Drosophila melanogaster: one gene and its partners. The protein of the gene in region 1 interacts with the protein of each later gene in a pairwise test. Each region holds a gene or a part of one and is shown in the gene's direction. Other genes may lie near its edges.

Region 1 (4,073 bases):
ACCATCGATCGATCCCTCTTTTTATTTGCAATTCACCCAATCCCCCTGAATGGGCAGTTGTAAAAAGAGAATGAATGAAAGATAGTATATAATGTAGGTATTGTTGATAGGATTTGATAACATTTCAGCGTAACAAATCTAAACTACGTTATGTCCTCGAATTAGCTGCAGTAAGTATCTAGCATAACATTTCCCATGGATGATAGCCAACTTTGTACCGCTACCCACTTCCGTTGGCTGTCGAGGCGACCGTTAGGACAAACAGTTAACAAAGTGAAACAACTTGTCGAGGATCCCACATCCCACGCCGCAGCGGAAGCCAAAGGGATAAAGGACGTAGAATCAAGGATGTTTAAGGAGGAGGGCAAACACGAGCAGTCAACACGGACGGCCACTTGTCGCAATGATCCTGGACTCTCGATTCTCGATCCTCGGGCTGGCGGCGTCATGAATCAAATGGGCAGACTGGCGAGTGTCCTTGCCAAAATTCCGGGAAGCCGAGTTTTCATTGCCGAAATAAGAAAAGGATGCGAATTACGCCAGCCGAAAAGGGCTGAAAATTGCAAGAACGCCAGAACTCGTCCTAATTTCCATAATTTGTCACGCACAATCCAACGAATTCGCCATCGCATGGATACACAGATTCTAGATGGGCTGGTCAGCAAAAGGATTTCGAAACAAAAGCGCAAAACAAACGGATTTAGCCATCACAACCCTTGGATGTTGTGCATCTATTATCAACAAACTAGATTCCATCTCTTTTCTTCTGCCAGATGCCTCTCTTTCTGGCCAGAAAAGTATGATTTGAGTGTAATTATAATAGTCTACGGTCGGGGGGTCTTTGATATGCGAAATGTTCTAGAAGATTCAGAAGTATGGTTTATTTCAGTGCTGAAGAGAATAGCCTACGATGTTTAATTGCGGTTTATTCTTTATATTTGAAAGCAATATATACAGCAGTTACTTAAATCTAAAGGTTTAATAACTTAAGATTTTTAAGATTGGTTTTTGGGTAAGGGTTTTATCAGTTGGATGTCAAAGCAAGTAAGTTAGGTACAATTGTAATAAAAAATCAAATGCACAATGCTGGTATATACAAAAATCTGGGGTTTCCTCAAACTTGGACTTATAACATCGCAATGAACGCCTATGAAAATAGAGCCGAAGTTTATAACTCTATATTGATTATGAATATTTTTAACCAATTCCATGAAAACGAAATGTAAAGCACTGCAGAGGTGGTACGAATTTTCCTATTTTTTCCCATTGAATATTAAAACCAAGAAAAAACCATATCCTTTCGCGGAAACTGATGAAACGTAAAGTTCGAAAACTCTTTGTACTTTCTTTTTAAAATTACGTTAAATGGCGAACTAACAATAGCACAAAGAACTATGATTTTTGCGAAAACTGCGAAAACCAAATGAGGGAAAGGGCAGCCGCACCCTTGTAAAACCCTTTCGAAAGCGGTGAGACAGAGAGGGCAACAGGCCAGAGCGGGACAGAGTCAGAAGCAAAGCCAGAATCACCCCTTTGCCCTTTGGCCTTTGTACCGCCTACCTGCTTCGTACCGCTTCGGCTGGCCGCTCGTGTCCGCCATTTCGATGTGAATGAGGCGTCGGCGCAGCCTCCGGATTTTCGGTATAAATGCAGGGGGTTCCGACGAGAGGAAATCAGTTTGCGTTCGACATCGTCAGCGTGAAGATATAGCAACATCAGAGCTAGATCACCAGTCTATATAGCGTCAATCAGTTGGATTAAACCCAGAGACCATACACCGAACACCATGCTAATGCACGAGAAACTCATGGCCGGGCAGTTCTTCGATCTCAAGACTGGTAAGTTGGCCACGCCCCTTGGTTTCTCCTCGATCCGTAAACTAACAAATCCCCTCTCTCTCTCAATCTTTGCAGATCGCAAGCCCCTGATGCACCACCACCAGTACCAGCACCACCAGCAGCAACCACTGCACCACTTGCCGCACAGCCAATTGCCGGTTCAGGGATCCTTGGGCCTACCCAAAATGGATCTGTACACGGCCTACGCCTACCAGCAGCAGTTGCTGGGAGCTGCCCTCAGTCAGCAGCAACAACAGCAACAGCAGCAGCAGCAACATCAGCAGCTGCAGCAGCAGCATACCTCCTCTGCAGAGGTCCTGGATCTTTCCCGTCGATGTGACAGCGTAGAGACACCCAGGAAGACTCCCTCGCCGTATCAAACAAGCTATAGCTACGGCAGTGGTTCCCCCTCGGCTTCGCCCACCAGCAATCTTCTGTATGCCGCCCAAATGCAACAGCAGCAACATCAGCAGCAACAACAGCAACAGCAGCAGCAGCAACAATTAGCCTCCCTGTATCCCGCTTTTTACTACAGCAACATCAAGCAGGAGCAAGCCACGCCCACTGCTGCTCCGCCCAAGGTTACACCAACCGCTAACCTTCTGCAAACCTTTGCTGCCGCCTCTGCTGCGGCCGCCGCTGCTGCTGCCGCTTCTTCGACCAACTCACCAAGACCCGCCAGCAACGCCAGCACCATGCAGATAGACGTTCTGGAGAATCCCCTGTCACCGGCTGTTGAGGCCACCACGCCAACCACCTCCAGCAGCGGCGAGGCGGGAAAGAACACCCGTCCCTTCAAGGCCTTTCCCCGGGATCCCTTGGTCATAGCTGCCAATTTCGCAGCCACTGATGTCCTTTTGGACAATCCGCGAGTGGAGCGCTACACGGAATACCGGAAGCGAGTGCTTGAGCAAATCCGCAGCTCCAACGGAGGATCGCGCACCGTAACCAACCCAAAAATGCGAAGGACCAACTCAAGAAGTGGATCCGTCAACGAAGGCAGCTCCTCAAACAACAACAGCGAAAGCGAGGATCGCGCTGCTGCGGAGGAGTCAAGCGACTGTGACTCCCAGGCGGGCAACTTCGAGAGCAAGTCCGCCACCAGCAGCTCCAGCAACTTGGCTAACGCTACTGCAGCAAACTCGGGCATCAGCTCGGGCAGCCAGGTTAAGGATGCCGCATACTACGAGAGGCGTCGCAAGAACAATGCTGCCGCCAAGAAGTCCCGCGATCGCCGCCGCATCAAGGAGGATGAGATCGCCATCAGGGCCGCCTATCTGGAACGCCAGAACATCGAGCTCTTGTGCCAGATCGACGCCCTCAAGGTCCAGCTGGCCGCCTTCACCTCCGCCAAAGTAACCACCGCCTAAAGGTCCACTCCTCTCTTGATGCGTTGAACGCGAGGATCCGAATCGTATGTCCAGTTTTTGGGTCAGCTTATCTGTGAATAGTTTAGGGGGCTCAACTTTCTTTTTTTTTTACACGCTCGCATTTAAGTACTTTAAGTCCTTGGAGTATACGTTATATTTGGAAAATGTATTAGCTGTAGTGCATCTCGCAATCCCACCAGTTAACTATCAATGGAATCATCTATAGTTGTAGAAGTCCCAGCTAGCTATTAATGTTTAACTTATAAGTGAATTTTTTTCATAGCCCTAAGGAATGAATTTCAATAAATTATCGAAAATAATTATCTCCTGGAATTTCTGTTCTCGTTGGTCGCCTCCTGGAACTCCTGTTCGCCTGGTAATTTAAACCGAAAATCTGTTAATTTTGCTTACAAAATTAGCATTTTTGTGGCAAATTTTGGGATTTTTGGTACCAGGCCAACATACTCAGTAGCGGGTGTCTACTGAAAACCAACTAATCGTTGGTCGCCTCCTGGAATTCCTGTTCGCCTGGTAATTTAAGCCGAAAATCTGTTAATTTTGCTTACAAAATTAGCATTTTAGTGGCAAATTTTGGATTTTTGGTACCAGGCCAACATACTCAGTAGCGGGTGTCTACTGAAAACCAACTAATCGTTGGTCGCCTCCTGGAATTCCTGTTCGCCTGGTAATTTAAGCCGAAAATCTGTTAATTTTGCTTACAAAATTAGCATTTTAGTGGCAAATTTTGGATTTTTGGTACCAGGCCAACATACTCAGTAGCGGGTGTCTACTGAAAACCAACTAATCGTTGGTCGCCTCCTGGAATTCCTGTTCGCCTGGTAATTTAAACCGAAAATCTCTAAAT
Region 2 (4,635 bases), on another chromosome or scaffold:
GGTCTTGCCGGTACCACGCATATTCAGTTTTTATGAACGCTCCTGGCATCAATTCCTAAAACATTTGACAAGGCCATAAGCACAGTCCTGACACGCGCAGGGGTTTATTTTAGGACTGGACTCGCCGGGTCAATGCCATGGTTTGGTCTTTACTAGTGTCGTACCTATCCGGATTCTGCCTTTCAATTGATTCATGATGACTGGCTATTTAGTCTTTGAAATGCTTAAATGGGCCCACTTTAAACGTTAATCTTCGGCGTCTCCAATGTCCACGGTTTTTCCGTTTGTGCAGGTCAGTCTTTGTATCTTGCTTTCTTGCTTTTCCTGCCGCCTTGCCCTCACTCGTGAAGTCTCGCTTTTCGTCCTCCCTCGCCGTCTGTAACCTGCCTCTCTATCTATCCTCCCTCAGTAAGCGTAATCTGATAGACGCGGAAGTCAACTATCCCATCCCAAATGCATTTGGGATTTCTTTAATCCAATTATTTCGACGCAAAATATCTTCATCTCAAAAGCGAGAAAAACTTTATTCCAAATCAATAAAAGTCTATCGGTCTTGATCGGGTTTATAGGGTAAAATCGCTCTTTTTACAAGAAGTTGACATTCATTTCATCCAATAACCAAGGCCTTTATGGTCACCACTTATAATATGGGGGTGTACTATGTTCGTTGAAATGTGTGTAACATGTTGAAGGAAGCGTTTCGAACAAAAAAAAACGTATTACTGATCAAGATCAATAGTCGAGTTGATCTGGCGAAGTCTTTCGATCTCAGGAACTATTAAAGCAGGAGAGTTGAGATTAGAAAGGAAGATTCCAAATGTTCCAAATGTACGCACACAAACCGCCTTTTCCATCAATGTGCCAAACAAGTTTTTGCACTGGGCACTCTAACGCCCATTTTTGAATGTTTTTATTTCATTCCCCAATTTCTATCGATATTCCAGAAAAATTAATTACTGGAATCTGAGAGTCTTTGAACTCGATGACCAAAAAATTTATTTCGCCATATTGACTAATTTCAACAAACAAAAAACCTTTTTAGGACTTCAGAGGAGGAGTGGAATCTTCGGAAACGAACTTGCACAAATTCGACATTCTAAGAAACTACGTACTTAAAATCAACCTTCTAAACGGATACGGCCATTTCCTTTCTTATGGAATAGGGAACTGTTCTTTGTACATGTTGCTTAATTTTAAACTAATATAGTATTTTTTAAAAAAAATTTTGTGCATTCACACCTTGATTGATCTATAGTTTTTGCCATAAAATGTGTTTTTTAATATAAAAACTTCCGAGTTCCTTTTAGTTAGGCGAATTAATATTGTCATCAAGCTATTGGGCTTGGTAGATATTTCTGACATGTTGAATTTTTACTGTAGTTGCGTGTCACATGCGCATTTCGAATTTCAATGAGCTCTCTCGTTTAGTTCCAGTCTCTCAGAGCACTAGTATCCATTTTTAGAACGTTTGGTTCGCTCGGGCCCTTTGGGTCGCTTATGTATTTGTTGATTAATTTGGATTCATGCACATATGTATGTCTCTCAAAGAGAATAACAGTTGACGAGAACAAAAATCCAAGAAGTCATCTGTGATTTGCCCATTTTAAATTTAGTCTATAAGCACAAGTTTTGCATAACACAGCTACTCAGTTATTGTTCCGTGTACTAGAAATTGCCTTTATATACATGTAAGTGTTAACAAAAAAAATATGAAATTGTGTTTTTCACATAATTAAAACCCGCGAGGTCTTAGAACTGACTTAACTTTAAGAAGGACTTTATTAAAATATTATGGTAGAATACCATTCATACTACTAGTTTACTTAAAGAAAACAAATTACAGTTGCATTTTTAGATAGTATTACAGGTTGTAGTTTAATAACTTTAAAGACGAGCGGACGACTTAATTCTCTATACATTATTGTGCGTAAGCACATGAGAAAGTTTACTTCTTATGTGATTCTCGGTAACTTTTTTGCGGATTGTCCCGACAGTAATAGCCGAGTACATCGATACCTCAGATATGCGTTACTCAGCTGAAGGGCCTTTAACGGAGATAAAGACATGTAAGTTGGGAGGAATCCGTACCGGTGGTTAAATTAATTGCTTGGCAGTTACTCGCTGGATCTTTTACAGGTTTTTCGAATTTGTGGGCGTTAGACGGGCGTTGAAAATATTGCTAGGAACATTAATTATATTTATATAATAAAATACACAGCAATACTACCTAAACTCAATACATTTTTTGATTCACTTTAGACTACGTTCGATATAGACAATGCAATAAACGATTCAATGAAAGTAACAATACCTGAGGTATGTTTATACCAGAAACTTTAAGAGGCTGTATGATCGAGACGGACGTTTCTTCTTATTTGCAAACATCATCATCGGGACAGGTAAAGCGCCGTCGGTACCTTTTTTAGGTTTTTACGAAAAATAGTGATGCTTAATCGAAAAAGTCTGTAAGTTATTTAGTAAGATAGATGCGATTAACAGTGAGATAATTTGAAGAGAACTAAGTTATGCTCTCGAATACGTATATTTTAAATTTTACAAGACCAAATTTATCACGATAGGTACAAATATAGTTTTTTCTTAATCGGAATAATTCGCATGCTTTTTAATATCAGACCTTCTATATTTCTTGAGTTAAATTATAATAATTAGTTTGCCTTCTAAATAGTAATGGAAATTTCACATATAAATAACAAACTAAAACTAAACTAAAAGGGTTGAAACCGCAACCGCAATGTATGTACATTAAAAATGAATCCCGTCATATTATGAATAAATTCGAAACATTGTTTTTATCAACATTAGAACGAAATAAAAAAATGTGGAAAAGTAGGGAAATTATTCACAGAACACTATTTACATTTATTTGTACATATACGTACGTATATACACAGTATACTTGTTTTCTAATTCGTTTGATATCCCATATCATATCCCACCCAGTCGGAAGTTTGTGAACATATCCAGGAAAAGCAGTATTACAGAGTGCTTCATTTTCCACAAACAACGTTACAATTTTTTCCCACAGCTAAGAAGCTGGCTTGAAGCATTGAATAGATGGCGTCGTAGAGCGCCCAAACGTACTGCTTTTAGATGTACTCATTTGGATACGTAAAGGAAAATAAAAACCCCATCGTGCATATTCGGGTACAACGAACCCTGTTCTGTTTATACACAGACTCTGTAGAATCTTTTCATCCTTTCAGTTATATTTTAATATTAGATATACTCTTATTAAAACTATGAATATTAATATAAATTTTCAAACATATGTATGTGTACGCACGTACATCCAACTAATATTTTAAAAAGATCAAGACCATATATATACATTTATGTATATATGAACTTTTTTCTCAAAAAATGTGTACGTTTGTGTTCACACATATGTTAGAAGGGCAAGCACATTTTAAACAATCGTTACTTACAACAAAGCAAATGACAAAAGGGATAGAAGCTGACAAAAAAGGTCGTAGCATTTTGTTGTTTTATTGCCATTCTGTTTAGGTGCTCTTTAAATTTTGAAACGCAAAGATCAGTCAGTTTTTTGCAAAAATTTAGCGACATCTTTATGTTTTGTATTTGGCAAGTATAAGCACATAATATTTATAAATTTCTTGATTTGTTTAAAAAAATGTGACAATTTCACAATTGCACTTTTAATCGAAATATATTTTTAAACAAAAATATAATATAATTTTTAGTACCATCAGGAATGATGGAATACGTAGTTTTTTGTATATATACATAAGGTGGTGCAAATGGTTTTTATTTGTAAATTTTTGTCGATTTTTTAAGCATTCCTTGTTTTGCACTTTAGAACTCTAACTACAACTATAACATACCTCACCTATCTTTGGGATTGTCAAGTATTTAAAACTTATTACAGTTAGAGGCAATTAGGGACTTTTAAGTCTCTGTTCTATGGTCCTTAAATCCGTATTAAGCTTATTGTTAATATACAAAGTACATTAAGTTATATGCACTTAGACATGTAAAATTATTTAAGATCAGTAACTAATTAAATGCCTTTTTTACATATAGGATGAATTTCACCCTTTTATTGAGGCACTCTTACCGTACGTCAAATCATTTTCCTACTCTTGGTTTAATTTGCAAGCCGCCAAACGAAAATATTATAAGAAACATGAAAAACGTATGTCACTGGAAGAAGAAAGACATTGTAAAGATGAACTCCAGGTATTAATACAAACAATTTTTACAAAAGTATAAAATCGTTTTTTTTAGAATGAAAAGACTGAGGTGAAGCAAAAGTGGGCTTCCCGTCTTCTTGGAAAACTCAGAAAAGACATTACACAAGAAAGTCGAGAGGATTTTGTGCAATCTATAATCGGGAAAAGAAAATCAATTTGTGTTCTCTCAAACCCCGATCAAAAGGGAAAAATGAGACGAATTGACTGCTTAAGACAGGCTGACAAAGTATGGCGGCTTGATTTGGTCATGGTTATACTCTTCAAGGCGATTCCATTAGAAAGCACAGATGGTGAGCGGTTAGAAAAAAATCCGGAATGTTTACATCCAGGATTATGTGTAAATCCGTACCACATTAACGTGTCTGTTCGGGAATTGGACTTGTACTTGGCCAACTTTATAAAT
Region 3 (4,741 bases), on another chromosome or scaffold:
AGCCGGGAGACGACAACGACGACGATGACTGCATCCGCAATGCAACTTTCTGTGTGAGATTTCCGCCTATTGCAGCTGCAACTGGCGACGCATCTGGTGGCCACATGGGGGTTTCCGGCCGGAGGGAGCGGCTCCTCCAACTTCTGGCGCATCTTCGGTGTCTGAATTTATTACGAGATTGCAAATCTCCACCGCGATTACAGCAATTATGTGGCTTTCGGTAGGAGGTTGGCACATTGCCCGAGGAACGTGCCCAGAGGTGTGGAATTAAGACTCTCGGCGGAAGGGGTAAAGAAAGTGATGTCGAAAGCTCTGGTCATGAAAAAGAAACGATTTTATAAAATTGATAAAAATTATATGTATTCATTAGTAAGCTGGGAATATTACCCCCCCCCCCCCCTTGCTTAAATATTAAGTATACGCCCCTGGTCGCTTACATGGCTCTCCTCTAATAACTCAATTTCAACACCAGCAAAAACAAATGTGAAAGTGCCAAAAGCCGCCTCCCCCCCTCTCTCTCTCACTCTCTTTCCCGTGGTAACCACCAATCATAGCCAAAAATCCCCAATCAGCTCAGCATCTGGCCCAGGTTTCGATGCACTCGAACAGATAGTCCGACCTCGCCACTCTAAGCCGCTTTAAAGTCCCACCATGGGCTGCAATAAAATAATATAAAATGAAATAAAGATAATTTGTCAGCTACTTCATTTGCGGCAGCGCGTGCGTGACTCGCGGTTGCCTGTTGCATAATATCTGCAGTTGAACTTTCCCAGGGGTTAGCACTCTCTTACCCACCAGTCACCACATCACACCAACCAAGGGGTATAAGTTCTATAAATCAAATATAAATATCAATATCAAACTTATAAATATATAAGTTCCTATAAATCACATAATCAGGCTGGGCCAAGCCTTATAGGAAATGCGTGGCAGTGCATTTCACTTGTTGCCATTAATAAATTAATTATACAACCATGACGGCACTGAGCTCAGTTTTATCCCCAGACGCACGCACTCTAAGCCCTCGTAAAAAATAAAGAAAAATGCACACAGATGGTAGGAAAACTTGTACATTTCGTTGTCATCAGCACAGCAACAGCGCATATTGTGCAAATGTTGATGGTCAAAAGTTGGCTAACGCCTTGGCCAAAGCCATGGCCAAAAAAGCAGCTCGAAATGCAGCCAGCTAAAAGACAAATATCAAGTGAGTGGTGAGGTTTTCAATTTTCAAAAGTCGAAAAAGAAATGCTCTGTTTGAAGAATATATATATCAAATATAAAGACAACTTTAATAAACTCTTAATCATTGGAATTTATAAAAAATGTAACAATTAATATAGGTAAAATCATTTTTGGCATCGTAGCACCTGTCTAATTTCCATTTATCCCCACAGATTTGGAATGCAAATGAATTTCCCCGAATAAATTGCAAATTCGACTTCCTTCTGAGCGTTGCAAATTTAATCAGCAGCTTATTATGCCCCACACATAAAAAAATAAAATTCAAAAAAAAAAGAAGGAGGAGAAAAAATATGGAAAATGCAACAGCAATACGCCAGACATGGCCGAGTCTTTTCGGCAAAGGCAAAGGAATGGAAATGGAAAATGGGAAAAGCGAGGCAGCGAAAAGCGAGCCAACAACAAACCGGCTGTCTCCGTGAAAACTGCGCGGCCCCGAACACACACAAAACTCAAGTGGCGCGAAAATTCGAGGCACAGTTGCAACAGCAGCGCGCAAGCGTGCGGTTTTCCTCCACAGTTTTTCCAGCCAAAAGTAAACAAGGCAAAGCGAAACGAAACGAAACGAAAACTCAAATTAAAAGTCGCATTAAATAAATGAGAAACGAACGAGGACTGCGACGAGCAAGTTTAAACAAAGCTCAAAGACAAAGTTGAATGAATATAGTCAAAGTTTGCTTTTCTCCGCAAAGGATATGAGAAAATCATTTTGTAAAAAAAAAAAAAATATAAAGAGCTTGCATTACATTTAACCAAAGTGCTGGCTAACAAGGATATAATATACCTTAAAATAAATTAAATCAAAAAAATATAAACGCATCAAGTTAAACGTCGAGCAAATTAATGAATATTTTACTGAATGACAAAAGTGAAACTTATAAGTGAAACATCTAAGGACGAATAACGAAAACGATTAGTTAGATAGTTAAATTTGTTAAATTAGATTTTATGGTCTTGTTTTATCTCAAAAATCTCTTAGTTACTAATGAAAAAGATTTTGGTAAAGAATATAAGATCAGAAATAATTCTCATTAAACATAATTCATTCATTTGTCATTCATTTGATTTTCTAAGAACAGGAATTTTTGAAATCGCAGGATACTATTTTTCTGCCTTCATAGTTTTAAAAAGTACTCATTTAACACAGCCTTTGCAGATGTGTCATCTGTTAAAGTACCATATAATGATTTTTGTTTTACTAATTTGTTAATTATGATGTTTCATAATTATGGGGAAATGTTTAAAACAGTTAATATGAGAATTTGAAAAGCACTTTTCGCAATTAGCTGCTGTGATAGTTAACCAAACTGAACGAATACTTTTCCAGGTCCGACAAACAAACAATAAGGTTCAACGCTGAACAAACTCATTTACAATTTGTATTTAAAATACCAAGACGGCGAAAAACAGCGTGGGAGAATAACAGAAATTTCAACAACAATTACAAATTGAGCTGCCACTTTTGTGGAAACGCGAAAAGTGCAACGTGCAACTTGACGCCTCATTTGCCCGAACTTCCGCCGACATCCAAGGAAAATGGAAATGGCTATCTGCGGCGGTGGCATCCCCACCTTAATGGTAAGTACATGGGGTCGGTTCGTTTCGGGTCGGGTTCATCATTCTGAAATTTTAATATAAATAACCGACAACTGCAAGGGCCATCGAGGCGTGAAAACAACAAGCGCCAGTGGAGAGACTTCGAGCGAAATTTCTGGGCGTGGGCCTGGGAAAAGTGTCGGCCTTCGATGCAGCGATTTTCATTTTCTGGCCAGGAAATGGACGCGGCCAGTCACTGCATATGGCGGGCTTCTTCTCATTTTCCTGGCGCACGCACATTTCGCAAGCAATTTATTTTCATTGCACTTGAACTTCAATTAGCCCGGAAACCAGCGAATACTGGCCAGACTTCGTTTAATTACCAGGCATTAAAATCATAAAGCGTATTCCAAAGTATCTTTGCTCAAAAATTCGTTATGCAACTGGCATTGATTGTTTGTGCTTTTTGGCCAAAACGCTCTCCATTTTATGACCCCGGTCTTTATGAAGGCCCGCTGTGGTTATCTAACCGAATCGACATTGGAATCCATATCCAACTGCCGGGACGAAAGGAAAATGCACCAGCAGCATTTGCAATCGAAACTGGAAATTTGCAATTTAAGTGGATGGAAAAAAAAAAAAAAAAGTTTGCGACCATTGCTGGCATTTCTTTTCAGCCAAGTTTCCTTGTGGCCCAGGAAGCACTCGTACCCCCAGCACTTTCTAGACCCGTAAAGTCTTTTATGTGCATTGAACTTGACTTTGCCGCCGGTTTTTGGCCAGGGCAAAAAAGACCAAACTGGTTCTAACTGCCACGGCCACTGCAGTTGGTAACTACCCACGTTGCACCACCCACATCTCACTGCCACATTAACAATTAGCCCAAGCTGTGCCTTTTGCCTGCCTGCTACCATTTCTTCTGCTGTCTCGACTCGCTCTCCGTCTTGGTCTTGCTCTTGGTCTGGAACTTAGTCTTGGCCCTGGGTCTTGGCCCACTCCACTCCACACCATACCACTCGTCTGGGTGGCACGTTTTTCCGGCTTGTTGCATACAACAAGAGACGATGCCGTAAGCGCATATTGCAGCCAACAATTAAACAAACTTGTGGCCAAACAGCAATTACAGAAACCATTTAATGAAGCAACCTGCTCGACATGAAAGAAAGCGAACGAGAACAATAAAGTCCAGAGGGAATGTGTTTGTATTGATTGGGTTAAAGACATGGAACTTTAGAGAAAAAATTATAAATAAATAAAAACATACACGAATCCAAAACTTAATCAAATCAAACAAAAGATAGTGATTTAGTTTATATTAACCCAAAACGAATTTCCACAAAATAAATGATTTTTCTAAAACTAATTGAATGCTGATACAAAAAACACCTTCTGTTTGCCCACTGAGATGTTGATTCCCTTGTAACTAAGAAGCCAGAAGATGATCAAAACTAATTGAATTGCTTTTACAAGTTTATCACCTCCATGCCATGCTGACTTTTATTATTGGTTATTTGTCTTGAAAAAATAAACCGAGTACAATAAAAGCCAGTTCAGCACTTTTAAACTGCCAGTACAATAAATACAACTTGTAAACAGCTGTAAAACTCGAAAGCCAAATGGTAAAAACGTAATTTAATCAAACTTTAGCTCTCGCAGCTCTCGCTGCAAATATTACAGTTTCAATTTCCCAAATAATGTCAAAACAAAAGAAAACTTTTAAAACGCCATGCAGATAGTAGTATTAGAAGTAGGAGTAGAAGTTGAAGTAGTAGTTTCGCTCCTTTTGCCTCTCTTAGCGGATCGTAAAGGAATTGTTAACTAGTTTTCGCAGCACTTCTAATGCCATAAAATCCGACTGAGCAAACTGAAACGAACGCAAATAGCAACAATTTTTATCGCTTCTTTGCATTGAGTTTTCAAACGAATCTAGCGCGTGTCCCATCTGAAATGAAAAGACACTTTTTCC

Evidence for each region. Proteins that work in one complex are often made in the same cells at the same time.
Region 2: the proteins of gt (region 1) and NfI interact in a two-hybrid assay, tested with the Drosophila melanogaster proteins (one large-scale study listed by BioGRID).
Region 3: the proteins of gt (region 1) and Cpr50Ca interact in a two-hybrid assay, tested with the Drosophila melanogaster proteins (one large-scale study listed by BioGRID).

The regions. Positions count from the first base shown.
Region 1 is NC_004354.4:2,426,566-2,430,638, reverse strand, and holds gt (giant), read left to right. Parts: upstream 1-1,671; 5' UTR 1,672-1,786; coding exon 1,787-1,838; intron 1,839-1,913; coding exon 1,914-3,208; 3' UTR 3,209-3,526; downstream 3,527-4,073. UniProt on the Drosophila melanogaster protein: Represses the expression of both the krueppel and knirps segmentation gap genes. Binds, in vitro, to the krueppel regulatory elements CD1 and CD2. It is required in the early embryo for the development of portions of the head and abdomen.
Region 2 is NC_004353.4:273,344-277,978, reverse strand, and holds the start of NfI (nuclear factor I), read left to right. Parts: upstream 1-1,609; 5' UTR 1,610-1,688; intron 1,689-2,259; 5' UTR 2,260-2,318; coding exon 2,319-2,399; intron 2,400-4,062; coding exon 4,063-4,218; intron 4,219-4,266; coding exon 4,267-4,635.
Region 3 is NT_033778.4:13,768,200-13,772,940, forward strand, and holds the start of Cpr50Ca (cuticular protein 50Ca), read left to right. Parts: upstream 1-1,715; 5' UTR 1,716-1,774; intron 1,775-2,566; 5' UTR 2,567-2,775; coding exon 2,776-2,817; intron 2,818-4,741.